3 linked regions of the Stegostoma tigrinum genome follow. The protein of the gene in region 2 interacts with the protein of the main gene of each other region in a biochemical or structural test. Links are inferred from orthologs where the notes say so. Each region holds a gene or a part of one and is shown on either strand. Other genes may lie near its edges. The genes, in order: lin7c, 5-hydroxytryptamine receptor 2A-like and amyloid-beta A4 precursor protein-binding family A member 1-like.

Evidence for each region.
Region 1: the proteins of 5-hydroxytryptamine receptor 2A-like (region 2) and lin7c form a complex in vitro, tested with the Homo sapiens proteins (2 studies listed by BioGRID and IntAct, with this or other methods). The link is inferred for Stegostoma tigrinum from reciprocal best matches to the Homo sapiens genes HTR2C and LIN7C.
Region 3: the proteins of 5-hydroxytryptamine receptor 2A-like (region 2) and amyloid-beta A4 precursor protein-binding family A member 1-like form a complex in vitro, tested with the Homo sapiens proteins (2 studies listed by BioGRID and IntAct, with this or other methods). The link is inferred for Stegostoma tigrinum from reciprocal best matches to the Homo sapiens genes HTR2C and APBA1.

The regions. Positions count from the first base shown.
Region 1 is NC_081370.1:53,124,917-53,136,176, reverse strand, and holds the start of lin7c (protein lin-7 homolog C), read left to right. Parts: upstream 1-6,268; 5' UTR 6,269-6,346; coding exon 6,347-6,383; intron 6,384-9,892; coding exon 9,893-10,011; intron 10,012-10,578; coding exon 10,579-10,650; intron 10,651-11,260. UniProt on the Homo sapiens protein: Plays a role in establishing and maintaining the asymmetric distribution of channels and receptors at the plasma membrane of polarized cells.
Region 2 is NC_081368.1:62,023,848-62,034,531, forward strand, and holds the start of 5-hydroxytryptamine receptor 2A-like, read right to left. Parts: upstream 4,463-10,684; 5' UTR 4,254-4,462; coding exon 3,953-4,253; intron 1-3,952. UniProt on the Homo sapiens protein: G-protein coupled receptor for 5-hydroxytryptamine (serotonin).
Region 3 is NC_081356.1:28,369,899-28,380,481, forward strand, and holds the start of amyloid-beta A4 precursor protein-binding family A member 1-like, read right to left. Parts: upstream 5,018-10,583; 5' UTR 4,845-5,017; intron 1-4,844. UniProt on the Homo sapiens protein: Putative function in synaptic vesicle exocytosis by binding to Munc18-1, an essential component of the synaptic vesicle exocytotic machinery. May modulate processing of the amyloid-beta precursor protein (APP) and hence formation of APP-beta.

The sequences.
Region 1 (11,260 bases), on a different chromosome or scaffold from region 2:
AAAGATATGCTTCCAATGGTTTTCATTTCACATTCATCAGGATAGATGCAAGAATACCAAATTTCAAAGGGACGAACTGATGGCCAACAATTAATACTGCATGAGAAAAAGTGTGCTGATTGGTTGGCAATTAGTCTTTGATGGCTAAGGAATTGCATAGAGAACACTTCACGTATCAATTACCCCTAAGATTTTGCTAATATGTTAAAAAGGGTTGAGCCATCTCTTGTGGCCCAACTAAGTTCATTTTGCTTTGGTAAATTCACTTTTGGCCAAGTTTATTACCAGATTGTCTCTTTTTTATAAATGCATTCACAGAATGTGGGTGTCACTGGCTAGACCAGCGTTTTTTGACCATGCCTAATCACCCAGAGGGTGATCACATCTCTAAGCAACCACATTACTGTGGGTCTGGAGTCACAGATAAACCAGACCAGGTGAGGATGACAGTTTCCTTCCCTGAAGGACATTAGTGAACTGGATGGGTTTTTCCTGATAATCGACAATGGCTTCATGTTCGTCATTGGACTCTTAATTCCAGACTCTTTATTCCAGCATCTCTGCCATGGCAAGATCTGAACCCAAGACCCCAGAACATTACCTGGGTCTCTGGACTAGTAGTCTATTGATGACACCAATAAGTCATTGCCTTCCTATAATAAGCCATCAAACAATTCATTGATAATGGGAACTGCAGATGCTGGAGAATCCAAGATAATAAAATGTGAGGCTGGATGAACACAGCAGGCCCGGCAGCATCTCAGGAGTACAAAAGAGAGCCTCTGATGAAGGGTCTAGGCCTGAAACGTCAGCTTTTGTGCTCCTGAGATGCTGCTGGGCCTGCTGTGTTCATCCAGCCTCACATTTTATTATCAAACAATTCATTCTAGTTTTGTAAATGTTCTTCTCAGGTTTGACTGAACACAACCACATCCTCTCTCTCTCCTATATGCATTACATGACAAAGCTGCAGTGACCTTGTTAGATAATCATTGATTCATCGCTGATGCATTTTTCATTCTGAAAAGCTTAACTCTATAAAGATAACGTCCATCCAGCTTTATAAAAGCTGATACTTCTTTGGCTGTGTCAGTCAATGGAACTTACTGATATCCCTTTACAAAAACATTTTTCACTAATGAACTGTACTCGTCCAGTCCTCTCAATACAATCCTCTAATTGTGCCTTTGTTGCTACATTTTCACAGAGACAATCTTTACACAATGTGATCTGTTTGGTTTCAGCATTCAATTTCATGGTTATTTTTGTTTCAAATTAAGTGAAATATCTTTCAACTCCATCCTCTGCAAAATTTGGCTCTAAATATGAATTTCCATTTAAATCAATTCCCTCAGTAGAATCGTTATCATCCTCTAATCTACCTCTTCTTTCTTCCTTTACCCTGTTTCTTTAGTCAATTCATGTTGTGTGAGATCTCACTCTATTTTTTCCCTGCCTTGATCCTTGTTCCCTCTTGCCAATTCAAGCTTTCCTATTTCTACCTCATCTCTTTCCAGTTGTCGTCATTTTTCTTTCTATACTCTTTCCATTTATTATTTTTTCTTTCAAATCGACTTATTATATTGCTCCTTCTCTCCCTTAATTTCTTGAATTGAAGTTTTTCATTTCTAAGTGAATCTTACTGCATTTTAATGACCACGCATCACGTTCAGGTTTTGCTCCTTTTAATTTCAAGCAATGGGCAATCACTTTCAGAGTATCATCTTTATGATATCCTGTTCACATAGACACCCCAAGATGGCGGCATCAGCACATTGGGCAGTGTTCAGGCTCCTGAGCCAATCCGCTTTAGGCCGGCTACATCCTCCTCTTTCTCTTCTTTCTTATCCTTTCCTTTCTCTTTATTTTCTTTTCTTCACCTTCAGATGTCTGGGGGAAGCCGGAACAGTACTCAGCGGGTCATTGGCTGTGGCGGTGGAGGTGCTTGGTGCAAGGACTTTTGGCTGCAGTGGGCCCAGACTATGGACTCGTGAACTCAGCGGGCCATCGTCTGCAATGGTGGTGGTGCCCCAGTGCGGGGTCTCTTGGTGGCAGCAGGTCGCTATGGCAGAAACAGTACCCGGAATGGGGACTCCTGGCTGTGGTAGGCCTGCAGTACAGGGACTCCTTGAGGCCTGGGACACCTTGCAGAAGCTCTGAAGTTGTGTCTGGCGACACTTTGTACAGAAGATGTGCTCTCTTTATGTAATTTATCTTTATTCTTTTCGTAACTCAAAATGCTGCCGGATTGTAGCAACAAAACACTTCTCACTTTTTCTTTCTAGATATATGTGACAATAAATAACTAATTTATTTTATTTCCCCTACCTCCAGTTTATATGCCTACTTTCTTAGATTTGCCTAATCTCTAAAGATTTCAAATAATCCATTGTTTCATCTTCTATTCCCAAAGAAATTGTTGCAACTTTCAAAGCTATTTAAAAATTCTGCTCATTTATAATATGCTTCATGACAACTCTTCTGTTTCTATGCTCAGTGCCTCCGTGGTCTAATTTTTAAAGATTCACATAAAGCACTTAAATTTCAATATATCTGCTACTACAAGTAGCCACCACTATTTTATGGTTCCAGCTGATGGTAATATTAGACAAATCAGATCCCAGAGTTAGACCTGGCTTCATAGACCATAAGTTTGATTTTTCTTTCTCTCAAAAATCAGAAAGAAAGATTCATCCATTTTACTTCAGCAATACCCTTACAGGGACTCAAATCTCAGTGTAAGGTAACCCCAATTTTCATTCTAATGCTTCTTGCTCACTTGGAATGGCTTATAATCATTTTCTGTTTTTACAAGTTGCTGCATTTTCATTAAATGTCGTTTTCTTCAGATATATCTTTTCCAAAGACCTTTGAAACAAGCTGCTAACTCAGCTCACAATTAGTATTTACCATGGATTCCCTGATCTTTACATTCACAGCTTTTTGCATCTGGAGCTGTCTTCTTACCAACCTTTAAGAATCTTGAGACTTCTCCAAAGCCCTGGCTGCTTAGAAATTCATCAGAAAAGCACCTTTGCTGCTATAGATCTCTTCTGTCTGTATGCACCTGCTCTGACACCTTGTGTATTTGTCTCTGCATCTTAAAAAACAAGTCAACAAATTGTTATGATCGGAGCTGATGTTATTACTGGAGAAGTCAGATCCCAGATTGAAATCTGGCTTTATAGATCATATTTTAAGACCATAAGAAATAGGAACAGGAGCTGTTGAGGTTGCTCCATCATTCAGTAAGATCACGGCCAATCCAACATTCCTCACATCTGCTTTCCTACATTTTCCCCGTAACCCTTGATTCCCTGACTGCTCAAAAATCTATCTGTCTGAGCCTTAAATACACATAATGATTCTGCCCAGATAGCTCTCTGTGGCAAGGAGTTCCAGAGAAACACAGCCGCCTCAGAGAACACAAGTGCACAATGTTTAATATTTAGTTTAACAATAAAATAGAAGTTTATTGTGTAAAATAAAATAAAATAAAACAAAATAAGTCAAACTATTTATATATAACACCATTTTTAAAATTTTGAAACACACAGTAAAATACAATATTCCATCTATCTTAACACACTCCTTTCTGCAAAATGAGCACATGGAGAAAACGGCTGACAAAGTGTCTCTTTTTCAGCAATATCTAAGTCCCGTACTGTCAAACACCAGCTAATAACTTATTTTTGATGAATCTTCATAAAATTAGCCTTATTTCTTCTTGTCTGTACCAGACTATATCCCTTGTAAATTTTATTCCTGTGCTTGTGTGTGTGTTTATTTAATATCATATTTTCACTTTATTTCCTCAGGGTTAGTCGATAATAAAATCCTTTTCTTTAATTCAAGAAATTGTTGATAATTGGGTCTGTAATTGTATTACAAATTATGTAATAATAAATAGCTTTGTAATAAAAGCAGAATAAAAATATTTGTTGTGACTGACAGGGTTAAAAAGAGAGGACTTGAATGAGCCCATCTGATGACAGGCGGCTGATCGATATGGCTTTGTGCTCTTGTGAAATCGACAGCACAAATCATGAATTCCTTGTGAATGACATAGTGAGAAGCTACTTGTTAAAAATGTGGAGTTTTACTAACATTGCTACTATTCATTTTGACCATGGAATGATGGAACTCTCATATCCAGTTTCCAAATAGTTTTTGGCCTGTTTCTGAGCATTCACCTTCCATAATTCAATGGTTGTAACATAATTGGGGCAGCATGGGACTCAGTGGTTAGCACTGCTGCCTTACAGTGCCAGGAACCCAGGTTCAATTCCATCCTCTGGACATCTGTGCAATGCCACAGAAGTTCCAAGCCTGTTTCTGACCTAATTCCATAAGGAAAAACCACCCTGGACAATCAAAGAAAACATTATATTTTAAACAAAAACAGAAATTGCGAGAGAAACTTGTTTTTTTTAGTTATTTGTTTTGTTTACTATGATTTTAAAGCCAGGCTTTTTCTCCGCTCACTCTCGCACCACTGTAACACCATAAGACCATAAGACATAGGAGTGGAAGTAAGGCCATTCGGCCCATCGTGCCCACTCTCCCATTTAAATCATGGCTAATGGGCATTTCAACTCCACTTCCCCGCACTCTCCCCGTAGCCCTTGATTCCTTGTGAGATCAAGAATTTATTGATCTCTGCCTTGAAGAAGTCTAACGTCCCGGCCTCCACTGCACTCCGTGGCAATGAATTCCACAAGCCCACCACTCTCTGGCTGAAGAAATGTCTCCTCATTTCCATTTTAAATTTACCCCCTCTAATTCTAAGGCTGTGCCCATGGGTCCTAGTCTCCCCACCTAACGGAAACAACTTCCCAGTGTCCACCCCTTCTAAGCCATACATTATCTTTTAAGTTTCGACTAGATCTCCCCTTGACCTTCTTAACTCTAATGAATACAATCCCAGGATCCTTAGCCATTCATCATACATTAAGCCTACCATTCCAGGAATCATCCGTGTGAATCTCCGCTGGACACACTCCAGGGCTAGTATGTCCTTCCTGACGTGTGGGGCCCAAAATTGGACACAGCATTCTAAATGGGGCCTAACTAGAGCTTTATAAAGTTTCACTAGAGTTGCCACCAATATGTTTTGGTAAAAACCTAGACAGTGCCTTCAAGATAAACTTAGAAAAACATACAGTGCTTTAAAAAAAATCCCAAAAGAACTGCGGATGCCTTAAATTAGGAACAAAAACAAAGTTTGTGGAAAAGCTCAGCAGGTCTGGCAGCATGTGTGGAGGAGAAGACAGAGTTAACGTTTCCGGTCTGGTGACCCGAAGGGTTCTGAGGAAAGGTCACCGGACCTGAAACATGAACTCTGTTTTCTCCTCCACACATGCTGCCAGACCTACTGAGCTTTTCCAGCAACTTTGCTTTCGTTGCTGTGTATAGACCATTTTAATCTCAGCAATCCCTAGATATTTACATGATTATATTACCTAACTTGTCCTTGACATTGTGAAACAATACAAGTTGTTTTTCAGGACAATGTCATATGAGCAACTAAAACATACCACCACCCTTTTACAGCTATACTTTTACGTCGTGAAAAAACCTACACAAATGCAACACAACGATGACTCAATTTCCAAACCAAAATGGCGATATCTACCCATGCACACGCATGGACTGGGTCTGGTGCCAAATCCAATGATAAAATCATTCTATGCAGTTTTGGCATGATCACTGTGAGATGGAAGCAGATTTGGTTAATGGCAATAATACAGAAAAATTACAAAATCTAACATTTAAAGGCATAGATTTGCTCCAAATTTAACAAATAAACGTACAGGTAACAGAACAAAAACTGAAGTTGCTGGAAAATCTCAACTGGTCTGGTAGCATCTGTGCAGAATTCAGAGTTAACACTTAGGTCTAGTGAGCCTTCTTCAGAAGAAGGAGTTCTGAAGGGTCACAGGAGCCTAATCATTAATTCTGCTTTCTCTGCACAAAGGTGCTGAGATTACCCAGCAATTTATGTTTTTGTTTCCAGTATCTGCAGTTCTTTCGATTTATTTTTTATATATGCAACAGAGGCTTGTGAAAAAACAATCCTAGAGTTTAAACGGGAAACCGTAGAAACATAGATAGGACCCAAAAGAAAAGCTATATGTGGAAAAACACAGCAGTTGCAATCCGGGTGGCTCACTTGGTACGAAATGTGACCGAAGGTTGAGTTCAGGGCTCTGAGTGGGTTCAATGCGTCCTCCCAGCCTGCCGGTGGCGCTGTCGTTACCGGAGCGTAGCGACGAATAAAACGTTTGTGGCTCGTCTGGAGACGTCACTTCCGGAGTGTCCGTTTATTCTGTCGTTTTGTTGTGGAATGGCGTTGGTGATGGAGCCCATCAGACTGGACAGAGGTAGGCCTCCGCCCTCACTGTCCTTTCGCCAAGCTGCCATCTCGGGGTGGGGGAGAGTTCCGGTCACTGCGAAGGCATAAATCAAATTGAGTCGAACGAGCTATAAGGTGCCTGAGCCAGGCTGCTGGTACAAAGGTGGACCTTCTGGCTCCTGGGTTACCTAGACCCTTGGTTACGCCTCAGGAGTGTTTCTCAGAAAGGCTTTTGCAGCTGGAAGCTGGCGAGACAGGTTTTTGGGGAAGCAAGCTCTTCCTTCCTCAGGGAACCAGCACTACCTCCTCTTTCCCTCCCCTCCCCCAAACCAAGGGGTAAATGACAAGTCAGGCTTTTACAATTTTCAAATCGAACTGAGAGACTGGAGATCTGAAACAAGTAAAACCAGCAACTGTTGGAGAAACCCAGTTCTGAGGAAGGGTCACTGGACCCGAGATGTTAAGTCTGATTTTTTTTTTCTTCACTCATGCTGCCAGACCTGCTGAGCTTTTCCAGCAGCGTTGTTGATGTTGTTGTTGGAGAAACTCTCTAGGTCCGGCAGCATCTGTAGATAGAGAAAACAGACAACTAGTTCTGAAAGAGGGTCATGGGTCTTGAAATGTTAACCCTGTTTTATACTCCACTGATGCTACCAGACCTGTGGAATCTCTCCAACAATTTCTGTTTTGTTTGTTTAAAAATTCCCATGATTGTTTTCAAATCCCTCCATGCCATTCCCCCTCTGTGAACACCTCCACTTGCTTTTTTCTGCCCCCACCCTGAAAAAGTCTGAGATATTTGGACTCCGTAATTGTAGTCTCTTGTGCACACCTGATTGTAAATGGCTCAAGCGCCAGTGCCTTCAGATGCTAAGCTGCTAATTCCCTTCCTCAACCTCTCCATTCCCCATCCTTAAGGAAAAGGAACAAGTGTGACATCTTTGCTTAACAAATTCCTTAAAACCTTTTGCCTTTAACCAATGAACTTATGATTAACTCTCCTCATATCCTTTGGTTGCTCAATGTCAAATTTTATTTCATGCTGTTGTAAAGTATTTCAGGATGTGTTCAGATCTCAATGGTACTGCAGTTGTTGAATATCTGTTCAGAAAGGATTCTTGTCTAAAAAAAGTTCTTGCATTCAGGTTTTTTTAAAACTTCCACTGAGACAGACACTTAAGCTGTCTTTCTTAAAATTTGCAGCTTTGGTATTGCAACAGTCTGTCGGTGCACTGGACTTTATTTTAATGGAAAAAAGTAGTTTCTTTGGAGTAAAATTTAAGGTACAAAGTTGTAGCAGAAATATTGCTGATCATATCTGGTTTGTTTTTAGTGTAAAATTAGGAATGCATAGATCAGCAGGGAAGGAATTTTAAAACAGAATTGTAGATGCTGGAAATCTGAAACAAAAACAGTGCTGGAGAAACTCAGCAGGTTTGGCAGCACCTGTAGAGAGAAGGAAGGAAATTTGTTATCCTTACCTGGTCTGATCAAATCTCATACTGTACACACAGCAACATGGTTGACTCCTAACTGCCCTGTGAAATGGAAATTAATGATGGGCAATGCCCATATCCCATGAATAAATAATAAAAGTTGTATTTGTAAGTTAAATTTGGGGTGAACCTGTGTTTGTTCGACATGAAAGTTACAATAAAGTGGTTACTTTACACGGGGCAGAGGATGACTTTGCGGGCATGGCAACTTTCCGGAAGGAAACATTAATGTAATAGGGGAGAGTAGATTTTAAAATGTTCATTTTGTTCTGTAATTTTGTAAAGTTTGACTGAATTTGATGAACATCTTGGATTGTGAATCTGTAGAGTGGACGGGAACATCTATCAGACATACTGGCTTCAAGATGAGCTTTAAACTGACTGTCTAGAACCTTGAGACCCCATAATGTATTTCAGATGAGAGTTGGGAATTCTGTGTCCTGGGTAACGTTTGTCTGTAAATCAACATAATTAAGGCTGGCTATTTATGTTTCTATTCATGGCTCATTGCTATGCGCAAATTAGCAGATGTCTTTCTTATTTTGCTTCTCAAACTACTTAATTGGTTGTGAGGTGCCATGGGACAACAGGAGGATGTTAAAGCTGCTATATAAATCAAATTCTTTCTTTCTTTGATGCAGAAATACCATTTCATTATTTGAAATCAATTTGGCTGCAAGTGAGTGAGGAAGCAATGCCCCTGGTGTATTGTCTGTGCTAATTTAACCAAATGTAGGAAATGGGTGGACAGCTACTTCTAATTCCAAAAGGAGACTAATGGAATTAGGGTTAGCAAAAGAACTGGAAATAATCCCAATGGGGACAATAACCAGTTTGTTTCAGATTTTAAAATAAAGATTGCTAGAATAAAAAACTAAAAGTAGTGTCATAAAATTTGAAAGCACGCTTCATTTCCAAAATAATGTGTAGCAGTCACACTATTTTTCAGCGGCTTTGGAAGATGTGTACGTCATAACAACAACCAAGCACGGATACTGAAACACTGATTACTGTAGCAAATGGAGATTACTGTACTCTCGTTCATAAAGGTAGTTATCCACTGAATTGACAACAACAATAGTGTTGGTATTATTCTGGTAGTATTGACATGACCATACAATATAAAACTTGTGTATAAAGACATTTTCGACTGTCTGTCACCCAGACGTGTACTGTTTCACTACAATTGTTCATTGAAAAGTCAGACTTTTCTCATGAATCGCACATACACCCACAGAAAAAGCTTTTTTGCAGTAACCAAAATTCAGTTGCTTGAATCATTATTTTTGGACATGGTTAAAATGTAAATAATAATAAATTTATGTTAAACTCGAAATCAGAAGACACTCTCTTTAAACTTGTGGCTTTATTTTATGGTTGAATGGGCCGGTTAGCACAGTTGGATCGATGACTAGCATGTTCAAAACAAGTTCAGTTCCTGTTCTGACTTAGGTAGACTTGGGACCTGCTCCTTGCCTGCCCCATGCTGGTTGTAGAGTGATGCACCTCAAGCATCTAACCACTTGGCACATATCTCTACAAGAAAGAGACAACTACCTACAACCCCTTGTGGCTAATTAGCTCACTACCCACTTTTCAACTTACTTTGTACTTTGATCTGACAAAGGAATCATCAATTTTTTTTGGTTTTATAGCATGGAGCTAACATCGCATGAAGATAGGAAACATATCTTGCCTGTATTTTTTAAATGTATCTATAAATTTGAGGAATCATTTGTTTGAGATTGACAGTCAGCAAGCACTTCTGCATAAAAGCAGAATTTCAAACAGAAGTGCAAATCAAGTCTCCAGCTCTGAAAGTAGCAGAGGGAGGACCTTCAGATAGGGCCAGATGCCTGAAATTAAAACACTGGAACACTGACCAATAGAGGACAGCAAGATTTTCCGATTAGCACTATTGTGTGTGGATAAACTACCACAACTGAATAGGACAGGCTTTTGTTACGTATGTGAACTAATTGCAAAGAGTTGGTTTGGGCTGTGTATCTGACTGCATTTGAATTTGTGCTTGACTTTCCAGATGTTTCCCGGGCTATTGAACTGCTGGAGAAGTTGCAAAGGAGTGGAGAGGTGCCACCGCAGAAGCTGCAGGCTTTGCAAAGGGTACTTCAGAGTGAATTCTGCATTGCCGTGCGCGAAGTATGTCCCTGTACATTTTCCCCTCTATATGATGTAGAATAAAGTAAGAAAGCTGTTTAAAGACTATTGCACTTAATAATTACTTTTATGCAAAAATACAAGCAAACATTTGAGAAATATCATGTACTTTCAAAGGCTGTAAAATGGTTATGTCAGTCTAATGTAGAATAATCCAAATTGGTCTTAATTGTAGAATAGAATACTGGAATGTTCAGTGCTTTATGATTTTAAGATGATAGTTAAATGCTGAACTGCATAAAATAAAATGGTGTATGCAGATCTTAATATGAAAATATCTTTAATAAAAATTATCCCACCTCTCGCCACCATAAACAACAGATTCTTAAAACCTGGTCTTTTGAATACCATGATTACCTAGCTGGAATTTTCCCATTAAATCTAATCTAATCTATTGTTTTATTTTAACTTTTGAATATCCATTTTGCTTACAGCTGGTTTTGTCCAGTTCTTTTCTGCCAACTTGTTGGAAGGTTTATTGTGAATGAATGCTGTAAACCTGGAAATTAGTTAGCTCTCCAGTAGTAACATCCACTGTGTTGCCCACAGGTTTACGAGCATGTGTATGAAACTGTGGATATTAATAGTAGTCCAGAAGTGAGAGCCAATGCTACTGCTAAGGTAGGAAACTGTTGTAAATAAATTAATGGCTCATGTTATGTTTATTGACCTAAATTCCTCAGAATTACTTAATTGGACAATGCTTTATGGTAAGGAGACTTGCAGCAGAATATTTCTGAAAAGGCTGGCATTGCACAATTAGGCTGTAAAAGTACCACAACTTTTATGATGAATTAAATTTTATTGTATGAACTTCACTGTGTCCCTCCACTCTTATATCCCTCTGTAGTATTTTTCCCTGCAACCTCATTCATAATTTTACTTTAAATATATTTAGAGCAGGTAAACTTATGACATGATTTTGTTTTCTGTCAGCATGTGCTTTGCTTGGGTGTATGTTCAATGAGCTTCCACTTTTTAATACCAAATTGTATATCCCATTTACTCTTAAAAGTGGGGTCTGTTGAATGGCCAGGTTGGCAAGTTCAGCAGAAGTTTTTTTTCATCATGCCTTGCTGTCATTACCAGGATTCATATTTGGCACCGTGGTCATTTGAATCATTGGTTGAACTTCATTGTTGGTATAAAATTTCTAAAACTTTAGTTAAGCCAACACCATATTGTGATAAGGGACATGATTAGTTATTTGATAAGCTTGACTTCAAATAGT
Region 2 (10,684 bases):
CAGGCCCATGTGGAAGTCAGCTGATTACTATCCACACTCAGAATGCTGACACCCCAGATGTGGATATCAGTGTTTAAAGGTATTGCAGCACATCATGACAGTCCAGTAATGCATTCTCCAACAAATTACTAGGACTGCTGATATACCATTATATGGAAATTGAGTGACCACATGTAGCACAGACCTGCTGTCTTCTTCCAGCAAGACAGCCTTCACCCTCTCATCACTGCCACTCAGTCAGCAGATAGTCAGCCCTGTCACCTATGCTGACCTTCTAATTGCCAGGCTACTCGAGGTCTCCACTGAAAGATAGCCATGCTGCAGGCAGACATGGCACTCTATAGGAGCACTCAGCATGACCAAGGAACATGGAAGCAGTCCACAAATGTGGAAGGGTAATCAGTTGATTTGTACGCTAAATGGCCTCAGTTTATTTATGCATTTGGTTTGGAACATGGTATCTTTTGTCTTTCCCTCGCAGCCAAGTGATGCTCAGCAACAGAGGCAGAATGAGGTATGATACTCTGAGTGCCGGGGTTGTATGGCCATAGAACCAAAGTGCAAGATTACAGGGAGGAAACAGGAGATTGGCCTTAAGTTAAAATGCTCAGAAAGCTGTCCAAGTGCCATCCTTCTTAAACTAGTTGATCCACAGGCAGCCGAACAGGGATGGGATATGTCGGTTGCTTCCTCTATTCCTCTTCCTCGTCCTTGTCATCCTACTCTACTGCCTGTCCTCATCCATATAGCCAGCGGCGAGGCTATGTAGTGTGCAGCAGGTCACCATGAAGCTTGACACTTATTTGTTAAGAGCTGCAGGGCTCCTGCGGATCACTTTAAGCAGCAGAGGCACTGGCCCCTGTAGTAATAGCAATGAAATTGTCAACAATCTTCATCATTTCTCCATTTAATCTGACAGCAAACCTCATGAGATCAGACATGCACAAGATGAGATGGAAATCCAGAAAATGCTGTCAGTGAATCTATGCACTTCCACAGGCTGCATTGTAGAGGTTCCTACAATCTGCAATCTCTGTTGCAATCAGCATTTGATAAGAAAATGTTCAAAAGGGACCTAAGGGGTGATCTTTTCACACAGAGGGTTGTGTGTGTATGGAACATGCGGCCAGACGAAGTGGCAGAAGTGGGTACAATTAAAATCTTTAAAAGATATTTCGACAGACACATAGGATAGGAAAAGTTTAAAGAGATATGGACCAAATGCAGACAATTGGGATGAGTTCAGTTTAAGAAATCTGGTTGGTGTGAACAAATGGGCCCAATGGCCTGTTTCCACGCCATATATAACTATATGACTCTGACTTCCAATTTATATTGTTAGTCATGCTGTGAAAACTCTAAAAAAAATCACACTGAATTAAATAAGTTGTAACTGGCTCCTTAAATGTGTACTAACTTAATGATCACTGATAATGTGTTATTTTCTTCTCAACCTGCACATTCCAAATCCATTTAATCTTGATGCATTCTACACATGTATGCCTGTAAGTTCTCAAGTGTTGCATCTGCAGTATTGTGTCAATAATTAATCCCGTTTGAGACATATTGAACCTTTACCGGCCCAGAAAAATGAACATTTTGTTTGTGAAATTCCAAATTTCCCAGTAATTATTAAAAAGAAGTATCTAAAAATGTAATAATCTATTCATTTTTTATTTTAAATTCAGTCTTAAAACAATCATTGGTTTAGTTTACTATCTGCACATTTTAATTAGATTTGAAGGGGTCTAAATGATTGAGAAACTTAACTGGGTGCCCATTTGCTTGCTGATGTCACTGCTGCTGCACCTCAAGACATCCAATCAGAACTAAATTTGAACAAATGTTAGGACAAGTCAAGTCCACACTGAACGGTTTGCTCAGTCTTTGTGGGGAGTTTTCAAGGCCAGTGGTTACTGCATCATTCAAACCATTTCGGGTCAGAATGGTCTTCACTATTACACATCATGTAGCAACAAAGCTTTCATTGATGTATAGGGGCAGAGATAATGGGAACTGCAGATGCTGGAGAATCCAAGATAATAAAATGTGAGGCTGGATGAACACAGCAGGCCAAGCAGCATCTCAGGAGCACAAAAGCTGACGTTTCGGGCCTAGACCCTTCATCAGAGAAGGGTCTCTGATGAAGGGTCTAGGCCCGAAACTTCAGCTTTTGTGCTCCTGGGATGCTGCTTGGCCTGCTGTGTTCATCCAGCCTCACATTTTATTATCATTGATGTATAGGGTGTTCAATTAGCCTGGATGGCTGTTTTGTGTACAAAGTATTACCTGTAGCATGGGTTCAATTCCTGCACTACCATGCAACCTCATCCCCTTGCCTGAGGTGCAGTGACCCTCAGGTTAAACTACTACCAATTGTTTCATCTAGCAGCTACTCTCTGATTTCTCAGTGTGAGGTGTGCACACAAATGGCACAGCAAATAAAGCCATCATTACAGATCTCAGGCTACTGAACATTGGCCTGCCTGATACACTGTCTATGCTCCCATACTAGCTAGACATTAAGAAAATGGGTGCCTTTTAGTTGTTGCATGTTTCTAAGTAGTACCTGCAAAGTGGACTGTTGTAATCCATGTCATCCTGCACCAATGGGAAACCTGCAAAATTGTATACTTGTTCCACCTGCGTTTTTTTTAAATCTTTGGCAAGATAGCATTCAGTTATCTTGTATTGCAGAACTGAACTGACTTCCCTTCTGCAATCGTAGATGATGAATGAGGAGAACACCAACTCCCACTTAGAAGGGCCTCAAGGCAATTATGCATGCCTACAACAGCCACTAGTAATGCTGCCCTCACTCTGGTTTGAGTTCCTGGCAGATTTCAGTGTTGGTGTTCTTTCTTGTTGGACATAAGGGAAGAGATTGGATTCCTGAACATCCTAGGTGGATGTGGCCTCCTGCTGAGGGTCCTTTTCCCACTCCTCACTCCTCACCCTCTTCCATCAGCTTATTATCCCCTGTGCCACTTGGTCAAATGGAATGCACACTAATGAAGCCACACTTGACTGTGTGTGTGTGTGTATGTGTGTGTGTGTGTGTGTGTGTGTGTGTGTGTGTGTGTGTGTGTGTGTGTGTGTGTGTGTGTGTGTGTGTGTGTGTGTGTGTGTGCACAGAATCCTTGAAATCAGAACTAAGTCCTTCAGCAAGTGCTGCATCACTCCATAAAAGTGGCACTGAAACTCTCTTAGAGAGCAGAAAAGTCAGTCAGCAATTAGATTATAAGTAGTTGATACCCTTCTAAATAATGCTGATGGGGGTCATTCCTTCTGCTGTAAGTGTTTAAGAGATGGTATTGCCTGGAATATTAAAATCCAGGGTGATAGCACTACCATTTAACTGGTGCTATGTGTTGAATAATGCCACAGTCTGATATCTCTGCAAGCTTCCTCTGGTTGCCCCTGAGTGTATGGTAGTTCTCTTACTAAGCTGTTGCCAAACATGGTTTGCACCAGAAATGAAATTAGGCACCGTAAATGCCATTTTGTTGTATAAACAACACCTGTGGCTCTAAAACTCCAGGCACGATGGAGCTGAATTCAGTGGCCTAATAAACATAATTACTAAATTTGCAAGTGCTTGTTAATAAAGTTATTCCAATGTTGTGCCTTTTGATCTCTAATTAGGATACTGTATTCTCTAAATTGCATATGCAATATCAAATTATAATTATACTTCATCTTAAATACACAAGCAGTGCAATTACTGCTGTAGTGACATCCATTCACTACTGAGAATTACAATATGATGAATTGTCCTCTTGCGCACAGTACTAAAATCTGACTAAGAGCTTCTGTTGTTGGAGAAAGAAATTAATGATCTTACAGGCCTCAACCCATTCACAATTCAAAATGAGCTGATCAATGCATTGAAATGTGTTGAATATTTTGCAAAACCCTTTGCCAGGTTCATAAAATCCCAAATAGAACTTACCGTAGAGAATAGTAATGAGCGAAACTGGCATAACTAAAATTCCCACCAACATATCGGCAACGGCTAGCGACATTAGGAAGTAATTTGTGGCATTCTGTAGCTTTTTCTCCAGTGAAACTGCCATGATCACTAATATATTGCCCCCCACAGTCAGTACGATGATGATGAGAATCAACAAGGCTGGCCAGTTCTTTTTTGAGATGTTTGCATGAGCGACGTCCTCTGGCTCTGAGGCATTGAATATTTCCCCTGTAGTCAAATTCTGGTTCAGGGTACGAGAACTGTTGATGTATCTGGCCATGAGAACACTATACCAATTGAAATGCAGAGACACAAAATGGAGCGATTCTGGAAAATTGTGAAGTTCTTCTATAAATAAGGTATGAAATGCTCTGACGTTTACTTTTGTGAAACACCCATGTGAAAGGGAAGACTACCTCGAGCAGTTGGACACATGAGAAGATGATTCATCCATTGTTCTGTGAGCATTCAATTCAGAAGTCAGGTATTTTAAGCGTTCAAGCATTTTTGTATCTGACAAAATGAGTAATGATAAACTGCCTGTAACAGTAGGGTTCTCAATGTTTTCACCTGGGTTACTGAATGCAAAGTGAGAGATTTTCCTGTTTCACACCTCTTTCAGAAGCAACCACAATATCATCACAAATGATGTCAAGCTCCTCAAGTGGCTTATGTTGTCATCCCATTTTCTCAAATTTTATTTTCTTCTCAGATATGTATTTTTGTTTCTCAGTCTCTTCTTCTTACAATCAACTCATTAACATCTAAGCAAGATGTTCTTCCAGTGCTGAATGACTCCAATTCTGAAAAGAATCACAATTACAAGGTTATTGTGTTGTTATTCAATTCAACACTTTATTATAAATATTAATTCAATCAAAACTTGGCATTCCTACCTGCATTCAACATTCAATGAACAGTGCCCCATGTCCTTGCAAAAAATGTAAGAATACATCTCCTACCTATGCAACTACTATTCTTCTACATTTGTTCATTCATTTGAGTTGCCTGTGAAGCCAGGTTTCAGTAAATGGCAGAAGGATTGACAATTTGTCACAATCGCTGCCAAAAATATCAATGCACATTGGCAAGAAATTTACTGAAGTGCCAACGCTGATGTATTTTTCATCTCCGTTGTCCTGATAATTATCTTTTTCATGAGTTCATTAAATTCTGTTTTATCCATTACTACCTCACACAGAACAAAAGGGAAACATTAACTCAGTATGTTCCAAATTACTCATGATAAGATATTTTAATTATGTGCCGAGCTTATGGTGTATTCTTTTTAATGTTTTAACATTGCCAGCTGAGGCTTGTACAAGATGAAAACACGACAAACATAATTTTGCGCCCAATGTGGAATGTCATTTGCTTTCTCAACCAGAAAATTGCTTCACAATGTCAATACCACTGAACCGATTTAACATGTCGGTCAACAAGAGTATGTGTGGATTCGGCTGCAAAAATCTTTTTAAACATGGTAGAAAGAGGTTGAGAATTCTGTGGTGTGTAATTCATCTAGCTGCACAAAGCTTTTAGCCAGCTTTTAGGCACCAGCTAGGAGTGTGATGGAAAATACCCCACTTCCCTGGATGAGTGCAGTTCTAACAACTAGCTTAATGTCATCCAACAGTCAAAGATGACAGCTGATGGGCAATTTCTGAAGAGCAACTAGGAATGGGCAGTAAATGTTGGCCCTGCCAGTGAATGAGTTGAAAACAAGTTAAAGAGGAGCAACAAATGCTGGCATAGCCAGCAACATTCTCCTACCATGAATTAATTTAAAGAAGGTATAAAGAGAAGTTTAAAAGCCTAATAGAATGTTGGCTATGATGTGAATCTCTGTGTGGATTACAAAGAGAAGGAAGTTGTAAAGTCTTAATTAGGCTATACATGGGATGCCGCATTAAGTTTTAGACCTCAAGAAGTGTGCACTAACCTTGGAAATTTGTCACACAGATTCATCAAAATGATTCCTGTTTATGGAGGTTGAACAACAAGGCTGGGCTGTACAAATGTGACTTGAGTGTCATGGACTGAGAGGCCATCTGATGGGTGCTCTTTCAAGTATTAGAAGGATCAAGTTGATTGATACAGGAAAACTAATTCCGTAATATCGAATTGAAAATGAGGTGACTTGGTCTTAAAATCAGGAATCACTTTTTCACTGAAGAACAGTTCTACTTGATTGTGTGATAGTCCTTCCATGAACACATCATCGCAGAACATCAAGCAAGTGGACTGCATTTTGCAAAATGTAAATCAAGTTCCAAGTTAAAGAACAAGGTCCACCACAACTAATTGAAGAGCAAATGCTCATGGGCCACAAATGCTGATCTTTTGAGCAATGTTCATATCCTAAGAATAATAATTGTTAAAGGCAAACTGTTTGTGGCAGCAATTTCTATCACATGAACTACAGCCAATACTAGTAGAGATGGGTTCAAGTGTCATTTGCCCATTACTGTAATAAACTCCCTTAGTATTTGGCTATGTCTTGCAAATGAGAGAGGCCAGGAATGTTATAAAAAGCACAGCTGTCTCTCCTGCTGCAGTTAGCTGTTGAACTGCAGGTTTGTTGGCCTATTGGGAAGCAGGGGTCTAGAAGACAGCATACCTTCTGTGATGCACCAACTGTCTGGCAGAAGAGCTGCAGGCAACATTAAACTTTGATGTCACTGATAGTGCATCACAGATGGTTGCTTTTGCCTGCAGGACTGACTTGACCAGATGAGAACCCTGTGCCTTCAATATACCCAGGTTGGTGAGTGACTCTGCTGCAGCAGACTTGAAGAGAGAAGCAGCTTGCTCTGAAGAAGGGTCTAGACCTGAAACTTCAGCTTTCTTGCTCCTCTAGTGCTGCTTGGCCTGCCGTGTTCATCCAGCTCTACGTGAGATGATGTGTTTTGGGAGAGCTAACATGAGGAGTGGTAGAGCCCTGGGAAGTACAAAGAACCAGAGGGATCTTAGAACATAGAACATCTTGGTGTGCATACCCGTAGATCCTTGAAGGCAGTAAAAGCACAGACCATGTAGTTTAGAAGGCATATGGGATTGCTGCTTTTATGAATCAAGCTATGGGATACAAGAACTAAGAAGTTCTGATGAAGATGAATATAATGTCAGTTATGCAACAGCTGGAGTACTGTATGCATTCTGGTCACTACACAATAGGAAAGATATGACTACATTAGAGAGGAGAGCCACCTGGACAATGCCCAGGCTAGAAAGAGTCAGCTATGAAGAAAGATTAGATAGCCTGATGTTGTTCTCCTCAGAGCAGGGAAGGCTGAAAGGTGTTCTGATCGAGGTATACAATGTTCCCAAGGGTATAGACACAGTAGATAGGAAGAAACTTTTCCTCTCAACAGTGGGGTCAATAACGAAAAAAAAAAAACATTTGAACAGGTACATGGAAGGGAAGGGTTTAGAGGGATATGGGCCAAATGCGGGCAATTGGGACTAGCTGAGTGGGTGCCATGGTCAGCGTTGGCCAGTTTGGGCCAGTTTCTATGCTGTAGTACTCCATTAACCTATGACAAAGGGGCACAGTTTTAAGGTGAGCAATAGAAGGGCGAGAGGGAATTTGAAATTTCTTTTTAACCAAAAACCTGTGGGTACTTGGAATACGTCACCTGAAAGGGTTGTAGAACTGGGGATGGTTAACTCATTCCAGAAATGTTCGGATGAGAACTTGAAATGTCATTGCAAATAAGGCTACAGAACCAGGAGCTGGAAAATGGGATTGAAATAGCTAGATGTTTGATGATCTGCATGAACACAATGGGCCAAAAGGCCTATTTCCATGCTATAAAACTGGATGCCTCTATCTATAGGATGCAAACCAGGACCAGATCTCCTATCCTGCTGCTCTTGTGACAGAGAGTTGCACCCAAGCTGTAAATTTCTTCTGCACTATGTGCTTGTCAATGCTTGGGTAATATTTTTAATTTCCAGATTAATTTTCTTTTTGTTCCCTTACCCTATGTACGTTACTGATCTTTAACAATGTGTTGAGCGTCCGCACCCAAAATTTTAGGATGGAACAAGACTTCAAAGCAAAGGGTATGATGTCCCATTGTTCCTTTGTAAAGTCCCTATTCATCTTTTTGTTAAATGAACATTATAACTCTTGGTAATTTAAATTAATTACTTGGCATTTATTTTATTGCTGTAACAAAGCATTTGTTAAGTATCTGTACGTACTTAAAACAAATTATAAGTTAGTGCAATGCAGCTGAATAGAACATAATTAGTATGTAATGTAATTAGCAAAATTGAAGGCTGTGGAATTAAAGGGGTACTGGAAGTGTGAATAAAAACTTGTCTAATGAACAGAAAATAGTGGTAAAAGGCAGTTTCAGATTTAAAGGGAATGTACAATGCTGTCCCACATGGATCAGTATTATAACGCCTGCCATTTTTAGCATCTGTTAATGACCTGGACTTGTTAGGTAGGGCATAATTGAACATTTTGCAGATTACACAGAACTCAGAGATATAAGTAAACAATGAAACTGTGAAGACGCTATTAGCAGACTTCAGTAGGATGTGGGTAGATTGGTTAAAGTGGTAGATACATGCAGAGAAGTGTGAAGCAATGCATTTTTGTAGACAGAATGAGGAACGGCAGCTGAACTAAATGGGATGACTTTAGAACACAAAAGCAAGGAAGTTATGCAAACCATTTTGAAAACGCTGGCTTGCCTTTAGCCAGAGAAATGGGCTGAATCTTACATTTTTTAGTTACGTTTGCGTTGCATCAATCTTTTTTCAGGGAAATCCATTGTGAGACCTAACGGGTTTTCTTGCTGTTATCTTACCAAACTCATCTCATTAAGTACCTACTCCTTTTCTACAGCATTTTTAACGTCCAGTTCTTCCCCATCTTACCACATGGCACTCCCAGGGCAACTCGACATTCAGCAGATCTATGCTGAAAGATGTCATTGCTTGCATCTGCACCATCTCCAAAAGGCTGCTGTGCATCCAGATAAGTGCTGGCTTTCTGAAATTGCCCCGCTCGGTCAAGGGTAGACTATGGATGCATTGGAGAAGGGGTAGGTGACGCCATTATTCCAGGACAGGGACTTAGAGGTCCAAGTCAAGGAGAAGGGTCAGTATGATCTCCACCATCTGGAACATTGGAAAGCAATGTCATAGAAGCTGCATGATCTGCTCTGCTGTGTCAGTGCAAGTGCTACCATCTTCTCCCTGCTGCCTCACACTTGTGGACTTTGGCATGTTCACAAGGTCCTCACCAATGTCTACAGTCGCACCATTGAAAGAAAACTGTCTGGGTGCATAATGGCCTGGTATGGCAACTGCTCAGTCCAGGACGGTAAGAAACTACAGGAGGTTGTGTGCACAGGCCAGACCATCACAGAAGCCAACCTTCCATCCATGGACTGTAATTACACGGCTCACTGCTGCAGAAGGGCGGCCAACATCATCAAAGACCCATCACACCCTGGTAATGATCTCCTATAATCTCTTCCATCAGGCAGAAGATATAGAAGCATGAACACGTGCACGAGTAGGTTCAGGAACAGCTTCTGTCTGTCCATTATCAGACTGTTGAATGGACTCCAGACTCAACTAATGTGACATATATGCCTTTAAGTCTTTTTGATCTGTACTTCCTTTGCTTGCTGTGATCTGTCTATAATGCACGTAAACAAAGCTTTTCACTGTATTCAGTACATGTGGCAATAAATCAATAAATCAATTAATCCATCTTTCTGCTATGGCTCACACCTCCCACCAACTTTCATGCTCTGTAACTCTTACTATTGCCTGCACCATCTTCTCTCACTTGTGCTTATTCTCCCAACTGCCCACACCACTAATTCCTCATGACATCGGTACAGCCTAATCACTCCCTGGGAATACCTCAACACCTTACCACCCACCTGAACTAGCTCAAATCACTATGCAACCCATTTTTATCACACTCAATCCCTTTCTTGTTCTCATTCCAGCTCACAATAGGATGAGGGGAGCCTATGCTGATGGAGGGATGCCAGACATGTCCCACACGATGGGAGATACTTGTCCATCACATGAGAAGACTAGGAGTGCTCCTGCAGGGTTGCTATGTCCTGACAACCAAGTAAGTACCATTCTTAATTCCACTGCAGCTCTCACAGTAATCCTGCTGCCAATGTTGTTCATTGTACATCATTGCCCACAACACTGTCTTCTCCCTCGCTCATATCTTTCGTGTCCATCACCTACATCATGAAACAGCCAACTGCCCAAAAGCCAACTCCTTGACCTCAGAGGACACGGGGTGGTGCATAGATGGAACAAGCTACCAGAGGAAGTGGTGGAGGCCAGTACAATTGCAACATTTAAAGCCATTTGAATGGGCATATGAATAGGAAGAGTTTAGAGGGATATGGGCCAAATACTGGCAAATAAGACTAGATTTATATAAGATATCTTGTCAGCTTGGATGAGTTGGACTGAAGGGTCTGTTTCCATCCTGTTTATCTCTATGAATCTGAGTACTGAGGTCTCAGAAGAAGCATTGACAGGGCAGTCTCCTGAAGACCACACCAGTACAAACACTGACACCTCAGTGGCAATGTCAGCCTTAGAAAGTAATGGATCACAATCTGTTGAACACCTCACTGTGACAGCTCCGTAGCTGAAGAAAGAAGGAGCCACAATTTTTGGGAGGGAATTGGATAAACACTTGAAATT
Region 3 (10,583 bases), on a different chromosome or scaffold from region 2:
TTTAAAGGACAGTTTAAAAGGAGGGCTATGATAGAGAAGAGAAGGAGAGGAGAAGAGGAAGACAGAATGGTGGATACACGTATGGAAGGAATTCAAGAGAGCAAGGCCTCGGCAGCTGAAGGCACACCAATGGTGAAGCGATTAAAATCTGGGATATACAAGGTGTCAGACTGGGAGGAACGCATAAATCTCAGAGGGATGTCGAGCTGCAGGTGGTTCAGGGACAGAATTAAAAAGGTGTTTTTAAAAATGTGCTGCAGATGTCACAGGACACAGAATTTACTGTGTAGAGTTTAGGTTTCCTTACACAAGCTGGAATTTATTCACAATGTAGGAGGTTCAAAGATAAGGGCTGTCTTCTGAGGCACAGTTGAGCAAGCTTGGCTGATACTCACTGGAGTTTAGAAGAATGGGAGGTGACCTTGTTGAAAGTCAGGACACGTGGTGAGGAGGTATTTCCCATTGAGAGAAAATCTTGAACTAGGGGACACGGTTTAGAAATAAGGGATCTCAAATTTAAGACAGAGATGAGGACGCATTTCTTCTGTCAATGTAGCATTAAATTGCAGGAGTTCTCCAACACAGCGGCACTGGAGGCTGGGTCATAGAATATACTCAGGGTTGAGTTAGATGGATTTTTATGGGGGTCAAAAAGGAAAATGGAATTAAAACCAAATCAGCTATGGGCTTATTCAATTGTGGAGCAAGATCTTGAGATGGAACGACTTCTCCTGATCCTATTTCTTACGTCCTTATGAATTCCCCATGGCAGCCTGTTCAGAATAAATGCCTTTAGACTCTTTACGTAGATGTTGACAAAGTAATGCAAATTACAGAAGGCAGGCAGGACAGTGAAATCAGATTAGATGGTTCATGTGGAGAAAAAAATGTGCATCAACTTGACGGGCCAAATAGCCTCCTTCCGCGTTACAGCACCATACTACACAATAATACTGTCACATGGTGAAGGGATAATTTGACTTGGTGAACACCACACTGGTATTACTGATTTCCGACACAGCTGACAGAATATAGATGAGAGTGATTAATAGAATTCCACTCCAAGTACAAAAGCCAATTAGTTTTAAAGCTTTTCTGTTATCTTATTTGTACGTCTTAATTCGTACCATCAACAATTTCATTCAGGAACTTGCCCATGTTGGGACAGCACCTTTAAAGTAGCAAACATTCTAGGTCAAAGCATTATCAAAGCAAATGTGACACTGAACAAATAACAGATTTTTTTTGTTATCCTCCCATGGGATATGATATGTGCTTTGTAGCTGATGGACAGTCCTTTGGGAATCGGGATTTTTTTTTCATTAGATTAGATTCCCGACAGTGTGAAAACAGGCCCTTCGGCCCAACAAGTCCACATCGCCCCTTGCAGCATCCCACCCAGACCCATCTCCCTAAAACCCAAACACCCCTGAACACTACGGGCAATTTAGCATGGCCAATCCACCTAGCCTGCACATCTTTGGGCTGTGGGAGGAAACCGGAGCACCCGGAGGAAACGCACGCAGACACAGGGAGAACGTGCAAACTCCGCACAGACAGTCCCCCGAAGCTGGAATCGAACCCGGGTCCGTGGCGCTGTGAGGCTGCAGAGCTAACCACTGAGCCGTTGTTAGTTACTTATCACAGAATAACTAGCCCCTGGCCTACTATGGCCTTTCCAATTCAGTTTCTGGTCAACGGTAACCCTCAGCATGTTGACAGCAGGAGATTCAGCAATGATACTCTATTGAATTTGTAGGGCAAATAAAATTTGCAACTCATCATCCCAAGCCTCAATGATGTCCAGGTTTTGCTGCGTAGGGACACAGGGGCCACTTCAACATCCGAGGAATCATGAATCGTGCTGAAGATTGCGCGATCATCAGGAAACATCCTCACTGCTGGCCCCGTAATGGGCGGCAGGTTTTTGATGAAGCAACTGAAGATGGAGGGGCATAGAACCACACCCTAAGGAACTCCTGCTGAGATGACATGGAGCTGAGATGACTGACTTCCAAAAATCACACCATTTTTCTCTGTGTCAGTATGACTCCAACAAATGGAGTGTTTGCTCCCTGATTCCCACTGCTTCCAGTTTTACCAGGGCTCCTTGATGCCACACTCAGTCAAATGCAACCTTGATGTCAAGGACAGTAACTCTCACCTCACCTGAGGAATTCAGGTCTTTGTCCATGTTTGAATCAAGACTGTAATGAGGTCAGGAGTTGAGAGGCCCTGACAGAACCTGAACTGAGTGACAGTAAGGTCATTGTTGAAGCTGTACCGCTTTATAGCACAGTTAATGGCACTTTCCATTACTTTGCTGATGATTGAGGGAAGACTAATAGGGCGATTGGAAATGGCTGAATTAGACCTCTGCTGTTTTCCACATTGTTGGTTCGATGTTTGTATTGGACTGTATTGGCTAGAAATACAGCTATTTCTGGAACACAAGCATTTATTATCACAACTGAAATGGTGTCAGGTCCCACAGCCTTTGTAGTTTCCCATATGTACTTTGCCCTTGCTGGGTAACCAACTCAGTTTACATTGTGTTACAGTCTGGAGTCAGTAATGACGTAATTTCGGGAGCAAATCCAGATGGATCATTTACTCAGCACGTCTGGCTTCAGATGACTGTACACTGCTAGTTGTGGAGAATACCTTGAAGGAGGGGAGAGAGAGAGAGAGACAGAGAGAGAAGTAGAGATATTTATGGAGGGAATTCCAGAGCATTGGAATTCCCACCATATGCTGTGATGATTATTAAATAAAATTGGGGCTGTTCAAGAAGCCAGAATTGAAGGAGCACAGATATTGCAAAGAAGTGTACAAGTGAAGGACATTACAGAGACACAGAGGGGTAAGGTGATGGACGGATTAGAAAACAAGGATGAGAATTTTAAAATTACTGTGTTGTTTAAGCATAAACTGCTGAGTAGTAAGAGAATCAAGGGATAAAGAGTTAGAACATGAAGACGACTTTGAGGTATATGATCAGATATGATCTTAGCAAACGGTAGAGCTGGTTCAAAGGACTGAATGGCCTCTTCCCAGTTCCCAGTGCTTCCATGAGGACTGGAGTTATGGGTGAACAGGGTCTGGTGTGAATTATGCACATAGCAGGGGATTGGTAAGCTCGAGGAGATTGTAGGCACAGAATAGGCAAGTACGTGAGGTGATTTGAACACGAGGATGATAAGTTTAAACCTGAGGCTCTGGAGACCAGTGAGCCAATGTCAGTCAGCAAGCAGCAGGGCAAGAGACACTTAGTGAGAGTTAGGATGCGGCCAGCGTAGCTGACACTTACGTAAAGTGGAAAACCGGGAGCTTTCCAGGAGAGCAATAACATAGTTGAACATGAAGATGGAAAAGAAAAGAACATGGGGTTCCGCAGCAGATGGACCGAAGCAGGGCCAGGACAGCTGACCTCGTGCAAGCAAGCAACCTTTATGATGCACAGGACATGTGATCGGAAACTCAGCTCACAGTCAAAAATGACAGCAAAGCTGCCAACAGATTAGTTCAAACGGAGGCTTTTACTGGGGAAGGGGTGGTATTGATAATGAGGCAGCAGAATTTGTGGCGCTTTTCAGTCTTCTCGTATTTCACCAAAGTGTGGCTTATGCAAGTCTGGATAGTGAACAAACTGTTTAACATCACAGACAGCCAGGCAGAGCTGCGTATTGTAAGTATACATCTGGAAGCTGACCCATGTCTGCACACATCAACAAGAAGCAGCATGTTACTGAAGAAGTCCTTCCTTCAATCAAACATTCACTGAATGAATGGAATCTGTTATTAGCAAAAAAGTGGACACTAGTGACGGGGTTGAACATTTCAAATCCTTTATCTCCCACAGATCGGTCATCAGCTTTCAATCTGTATACTATCATGGACTATATCATTCACATATCGTACAGATATCTTTTACCTTCCTGACTCATTCAAGTTATTATTGGCTAATGAATAAAAAGTCCTTCAGACACTTGGTCTAAATTCAATAGGACGCATGGTGAACTACATACAGTATTAATTTTTTTAACCTGAGTGAAGTTATGTGAAATGGTAAAACTGGCATTCCATCAGCAACGATGGCTACTACAACTGGTAAAAATGTATAAGGAGATGTGTTTTTAGATCATCGCTTGAGTTATTGCTGCTAAACAGTTACAATTTGCAAGCCAAATAATGTAAGCATTTTAGCCTTTAAAAACAGAGGAATTGTTCCTGCTTGATCTTGGGAGAATTCATAGTGAGTTTACAGGTTGGCTTAAATGGTATCATGTATGATACCTTGTTGCTGTAAGATAGATTCACCACCCTCTGGCTTAAGAGAATGCAACGTAGGTTTGCTCTCCCCAACTCCCTGTTATCACATACTTGTAAACACACCAACGAATGAAACGCAAAAACAAGATCTTAGAGAGGTTTTCTGCTCGCAGTCTGCCATATGCCCGCTACTGTACATTCTCAGGAAAGATGCCATATCAACACAACAAAGCGTTACTGCAGCATGATCCTCAATAAACTGAAGGGCGAGAATAGCATCTTCACAATAAGATGGACCATCTCTTGGATGTCCCAGTCAATGAACAATTCAGAATAAGAAAAATAACTGGAGGAACATACGCATAATATCTAAGTTAAAAATACACTTAGATTGTTCTGCTTTAAGCGTGCTGTTATTTTGATGCGTTTATTTTCTTACATGAAAGTGTACAGGGGGTTTCTGCATCCTTTCTCCCACCTTTTTTACATTTGTCGCAAAATACTCTGCAAATGACTAAAAGCGTTTTGCAAAAAAAAATGAAACTGGGAACCAGAAGCCTGCTGCTACATACCTGTGATTCCTAAAGCCCCTCAAGATCTGGACGTGATTGCATTGCGCGCACTTTGCCCGTTTTCTTGCAATTGTTTAAAGCCCTCTAGCTGCCAGCTGATCCTCCCTGTGGTTCTTGCAGAGACACACTCAGATTTGCAGAGGCACTCAGGCAGGAAGTAGCCCCGGTGTGCGAAGGCGCTGCAGGGCGAAGTGCGCCTGCGCGCAGTCGCCGGCTGCTGGACCGAGGACCGTGCTCAACGCGCAGGCGCCGGAGCCGGGCCCGGTAAGGTCCATTACTGCGCAGGCTCGGAGACGGAAATGTTTCTGATGTTTGTTCTTAAGCCAGTGGTCACTCTCTCACTAAGAGGGCCATTCCACCACCACAATGGTCACTCTGCCACTTAAGAGGTTCACTCTCTCACTAAGAGGGTCACTGTCTCACTATGGGGGTCACTCTTCACCCCCACAATGGCCACTTTCTCCTTAAGGGGCTCCTCCCTCACTAAGGGGGTCACCCTCCACCCCCGCAATGGACACTCTTTCACCAAGGTGGTCACTGTCCACCCCACAATAGTCACTCTCTCACTATTGGGGTCACTGTCCACCTCATAATGGTCACTCTCTCACTAAGGGGGTCACTCTTCGTCACCACAATGGTCACTCTCTCACTAAGGAGTCACTCTGTCACTAAGGGGATCATACTCCACCACTGCCAGTAGTCATTCTCACAATCAGAGGTCACTTTCTCACGAAGGGGCTCATATTTCATCTGCCCCAGTGGTCACTCTCACACCGAGAGGTCATTCTCCACCACACCCCAGTAGTCACTCTCTCACTAAGGAGGTCATTCTCATACCCAGACATCACTTTCCACCCTCAAAATGGTCACTGTCCATTCCCCAATGATCACTCTGACACATTCAAGGGGTCCTTCCCACACTCAGGGCTCGCTCTGCACTCCCCAGGGGTCACTTCAACATTCAGATGTAATTCTCCATTTACCGCAAAGGTCATTCAGGAGTCAATCTCCATAGATAGCAGGAACTGCAGATGCTGGAGAATCTGAGATAACAAGGTGTAGAGCTGGATGAAGCAGCAGGCCAAGCAGCATCGGAGGAGCAGGAAGGCTGATGTTTCGGGCCCTGAAGAAGGGTCTAGGCCCGAAATGCCAGCCTTCCTGCTCCTCTGATGCTGCTTGGCCTGCTGTGTTCATCCAGCTCTACACCGTCAATGTCCATAGTTCATGTGTCATTGTCAGACCCAGGGGTTACTCCCACACTGAGGGTTAATCTCCATCATCTACCAATCACTGTTGTCTTCAGATTATACTCCGCTCTTGATACTGCAGTCACCTTTCAGTTCTTGCAAGTTTCCCAATGACGGGGGATTAACATGGTAACATTACAAGTTTAATGTCAGCATGAGGTTCAATTCTGCATTCTATGTCACACAGTAAAATTTAGATTCCTGGAACCCCGTAGAAATGTGCTCAGAAACAGGATGGAGAAATAATATTTGCACTTTGCAGCTCTCTCACACCCTCCCTGCCTGCAATTCCTAGGTCATTGTAAGGGTTTTATGGTCTCTGCCACTTTTCCTTGAGGACAAACTAAGATTATCATTAGATTCCAGAATGGCCATGGGGAGTTTGTTTAAATTGAAAACTAGTTTCTGCATATGGATTAAAGAGGAAAGAAAATCGAGACTTTCATTTCTACAGCACCGTTCACCACCTCAGGATGTTGCTGAGCTTTAAAGCCAATGAATTACATACATTTAAAGACAGAGCAGAGACAGAAAACTCATCAGTTGTATTAACTGGGCTGGTAAAGTGACTGATACTAAAGGGTAGCCACAGGGTCTGAATAGGAAATGGGATATGTTGTCAGTCCTTATGAGTCATTTGCAAATCTGATACAAAGGTAAAGCTGCCATAGTCCCACTGTCTCACCATAGAGAGACCACTGGTGGTGACTTAACCTCAGACAAGGGCAGTCCTTTATGGTAACCACAGATACTGTGGGAAATGAACCCACACTGTTGGTGTCACTCTGTATTGGGAAACCAGCCATCCAGCTAACTGAGCCCTAAGCTAGCCTGATGATTCTGCCTGGTTGTGAACAGGGAATGTTTTGCGTATTCAGTGAATGTGACGGCCATTGCACCATAGAAACCTTGAGAGAACCTTGAGGTTTAGACCTAAAATTTTTGTTTCACATAATATTTTGCACAAACAAACAAGCCACTCAGCCCAACAGGTCTATGCTGGTGTTTATGCTCCACATGGATCTTTATCTATTCCTTCTTCATCTCACTTTGTCAGCATAATCTCTCGAGTCCTTTCTCCTTGGTGATCATCCACCTCCTCCTTAAATGCAGAATAACCCAAAAGATGCTAGAAATCAGAAACAAAAACAGAAATTGCTGAAAAACTCAGCAGAAAAAACTCAGCAAGTTCTGAGGAAGGGTCATTGGACCCAAAACATTAACTCTGCTTTCTCTCCACAGATGCTGCCAGGCCTGTTGAATTTTTTTTAACCAGCAACTTTGTTTTTTGTCTTCTTAAATGCATCTACACTAATCATTTCACTTACTCCTTGTGCTAGCATTTTTTCTACATTCTGGAAAATTTCACACACTACAGAGTTATATACATTTACACCATTTAGTAAAATTGGAAGAAATCTAGGAAAAATGCTGTGATGAATTTATCATTTGTATGAAACGTGCAATACAAAATGTAAGGAACCTTGTCTTTTTTGCATGGTCTTGCTGAATCAAAGTAAGCATAGGATTGCAGCTGCTTCACTGTATTCCACCTCTCCGGGTTAATGTGGTTATAGTGAGTGATGTCTCTCAGCTCTGCAGTAGCAGCTGCAGTTTCTCCATCCTTCAGCACCATACTACACACCCCAGTGTCAGGGATCCTAAGGAGAAACTACCTCCTGTGTCGACAGTGAAATAACTGCTGCAGAACCGCCATCAAAAGGGCTGTAATTTGGTTAGTTTAGTGCATTATGTTAATTTTAACCTTTTTATGAAGAACTGCTTAGCAATCTGTGATATGTGCTTGTCTCTCTCTCTTGTTTAAATGTACAGAAATCATTTGTTTCTGATACCAAACATTCTAGAGCAGGGAATGAGCACATTTGTTTAGTTCAAAATATTTTGTGAAGAAAGTGAAAATGCATTGTTCTGTAATTGCTTTCTTTCAGTTTTGTTACTGCCTATCTCTCATTTGAAGCAGTTGTAATTTTAAAATTATGTTATAGTCCTTAAAAATGTTAACTGATACAAGTGGAATCTATGTTCAGAGGTTAAATGGAAAAGTAGCAATGGAGAAAAACTGATAAGCGACATTTTAAAAAATATAGTAATACCTTTTGTATTAAACAGGGCAATCTTGCCTTCAAATGCTGAGGCCTTAAGCTCTGGAATTCTGCCCTTGAGCCTCACCTCCATTTCTCATTCCCCTTTTGAAACTAACTCTTTGATCGTTTCAGTCTCCTGCCCTTCTGCAGCTCAGTGTCAAATTTTGAAAAACACCTGTGTGGACAGTCTATTGTGTTAAAGACACAAAATAAATTATTATCCAGCATTTGATAAAACTCTTGCCACCTAATTCTGTGGTCACGTAATAAATATCAACTTTTACTATTTCATGTTTGTGAATGATTGCACACATAAAATTACACAGAATAAAGGGTTCAGAAACAGGATTGTTTGGCTCTAATCTGTTCTGGTGTTTTTTTTGCTCTACTCCAGCTTTCTCCCATCTTACCTCATCTAAATCTATCCACATAACCCTCCAGTCATCTTCCTCATGTGATTGTCCAACTTCCTCCTAAATGCGTCTGTACCATTCTCTTCAACAATCCTTGTGGTCGAGTTCCACATTCTTTGAATGAAAAAGTTTCACCTGTATTCTCTGTTGGACGTCTTAATGATTGTCTTGCCTGGGTGACTTCTACTTATGCTGTTCCCCCACAAGAAGAAACTATGTTCCCACTCCATCAAAACCCTAAGTCTCTTTGCTTTTGTCAATACAGCATCTTCTAAATGCTAAATACCAACTGGGCTTGTGATACAGTGCACTGAAACAGTGGCAGCTTGCCACAGCACTAATTGAGATTGACATGGTTAAGAAGCCTGTTTCATGGTAAAATCCTACAACCATACTGAATTAGAGAATTTGCACAGTTAATCTATAAATCCAAACACATCTGGTCTTTCAGCTACTCTGCAGAGAGTAGAATTCTGAATATAGAAAATATAATTATATCAAAAACCTTGAGCATTTCCTACTACATTACAAATTCACTCGCCAATTTAAAAATTTTTAAGAGATGGCTGTTTCTCTGAAATGTTCCTGCTGTTGGAGCCCAAATATAGTGTCATAAATGTACGGTGGTAATTAACAGGGAATTCACACCTTTTTTACCCAGAGCATGGTGAGAATGTGGATAAGAACATAAGGAACAGAGGCAAGATTGGACCATAGGGTCCATCAATCAAGATGATTGTAGCTACACTTTCACCTCAAACCCATTTTCCTGCCTGGTTTCCATATATTTTGCCTTTCCTAGAATCCAATAATATTTAAATTTCAGTCTTGACTCCTGCCTGGAGTCACATAGAGAGGATGAAGTGGATAGTATGGATGTATTTAAGGGGAAATTAGATAAGCATGTGAAGGAAAAAGGAATAGAAGGAAATGCTGCTAGTGTGAGATAACGTCAAGGCGGAGGAGGGTTCTGTGGAGCTTAAGAACCAGCACGGACAAGTTGGGCTGAATAGCTTGTTTCAGTTCTGTGTATATTGTGTGATAGGGTCAGAGCATTAAGTTATTATGTGTTTGTAACATGGAACTCCTCTTTCACAAGGGCCAAAATTCACAATCAGAAATTCCCAAAATCTTTAATTCATGCTGCTTCCCTCAATCTCTCAACAATAGTTGCAATAAATATCTAGGGTAAATATCCCTCAAGCTCCACTGGAACATCTTCTGTTCGAATCAAGTTGTTTTCAACATCCATCTGTGTATTCATAGCAACCTCCCTCATCCCTCTTACAACCCAGGTAATGACCATGAGACACATAGTAGCAGAGAAGACAGGAGCAGCAATAGGCCATTTGACCCCTTGAGCCTGCTCCACCACTCCATATCATCAAAGTATCAATATCATCAAGCTCCATAATCTCATCCCACACTCCTCCTGTATCTCTTGATCCATTTATCCACAAGAGTTATACCTATCGCTTTCTTGAAAACATAATTGTTTTGTCCTGAGTCACTTGCAATGGTATAAAATTACACAGACACGGGAGGAGAAGTCGGTTATTCAGCCCATTGAGTCTGCTTCACCATTCGGTGAGATCATGGTTGATCTAATAATTCTCAATTTCACTTTCTTGTCCTTTCCCCAATAGCCCTTGATACCCTTACTCATTTAAAATCTGAGCCTTGAATATACTTGGTGATCCAGCCTCCACAGCCTGCTGCAATAAAGAATTCCACAGATCCACTACCTTAAGAGGAAAGAACCTCTTCATCTCAGTCTTTAAATAGGCAATCCCTTACTCTGGGATTATTCCCTATGGTCCCAGACTCTCTCACAATGGGAAACAACCTCTCTGCAAATCCGTTAAGAATTGCATATGATTAAAAAAATGTTGCCTTTCATACTTTTAACTCCGATGATTACAGGCCCAACCTACTCAACCTCTCATCATAAGAAGATCCCTCCATACCTAGAAT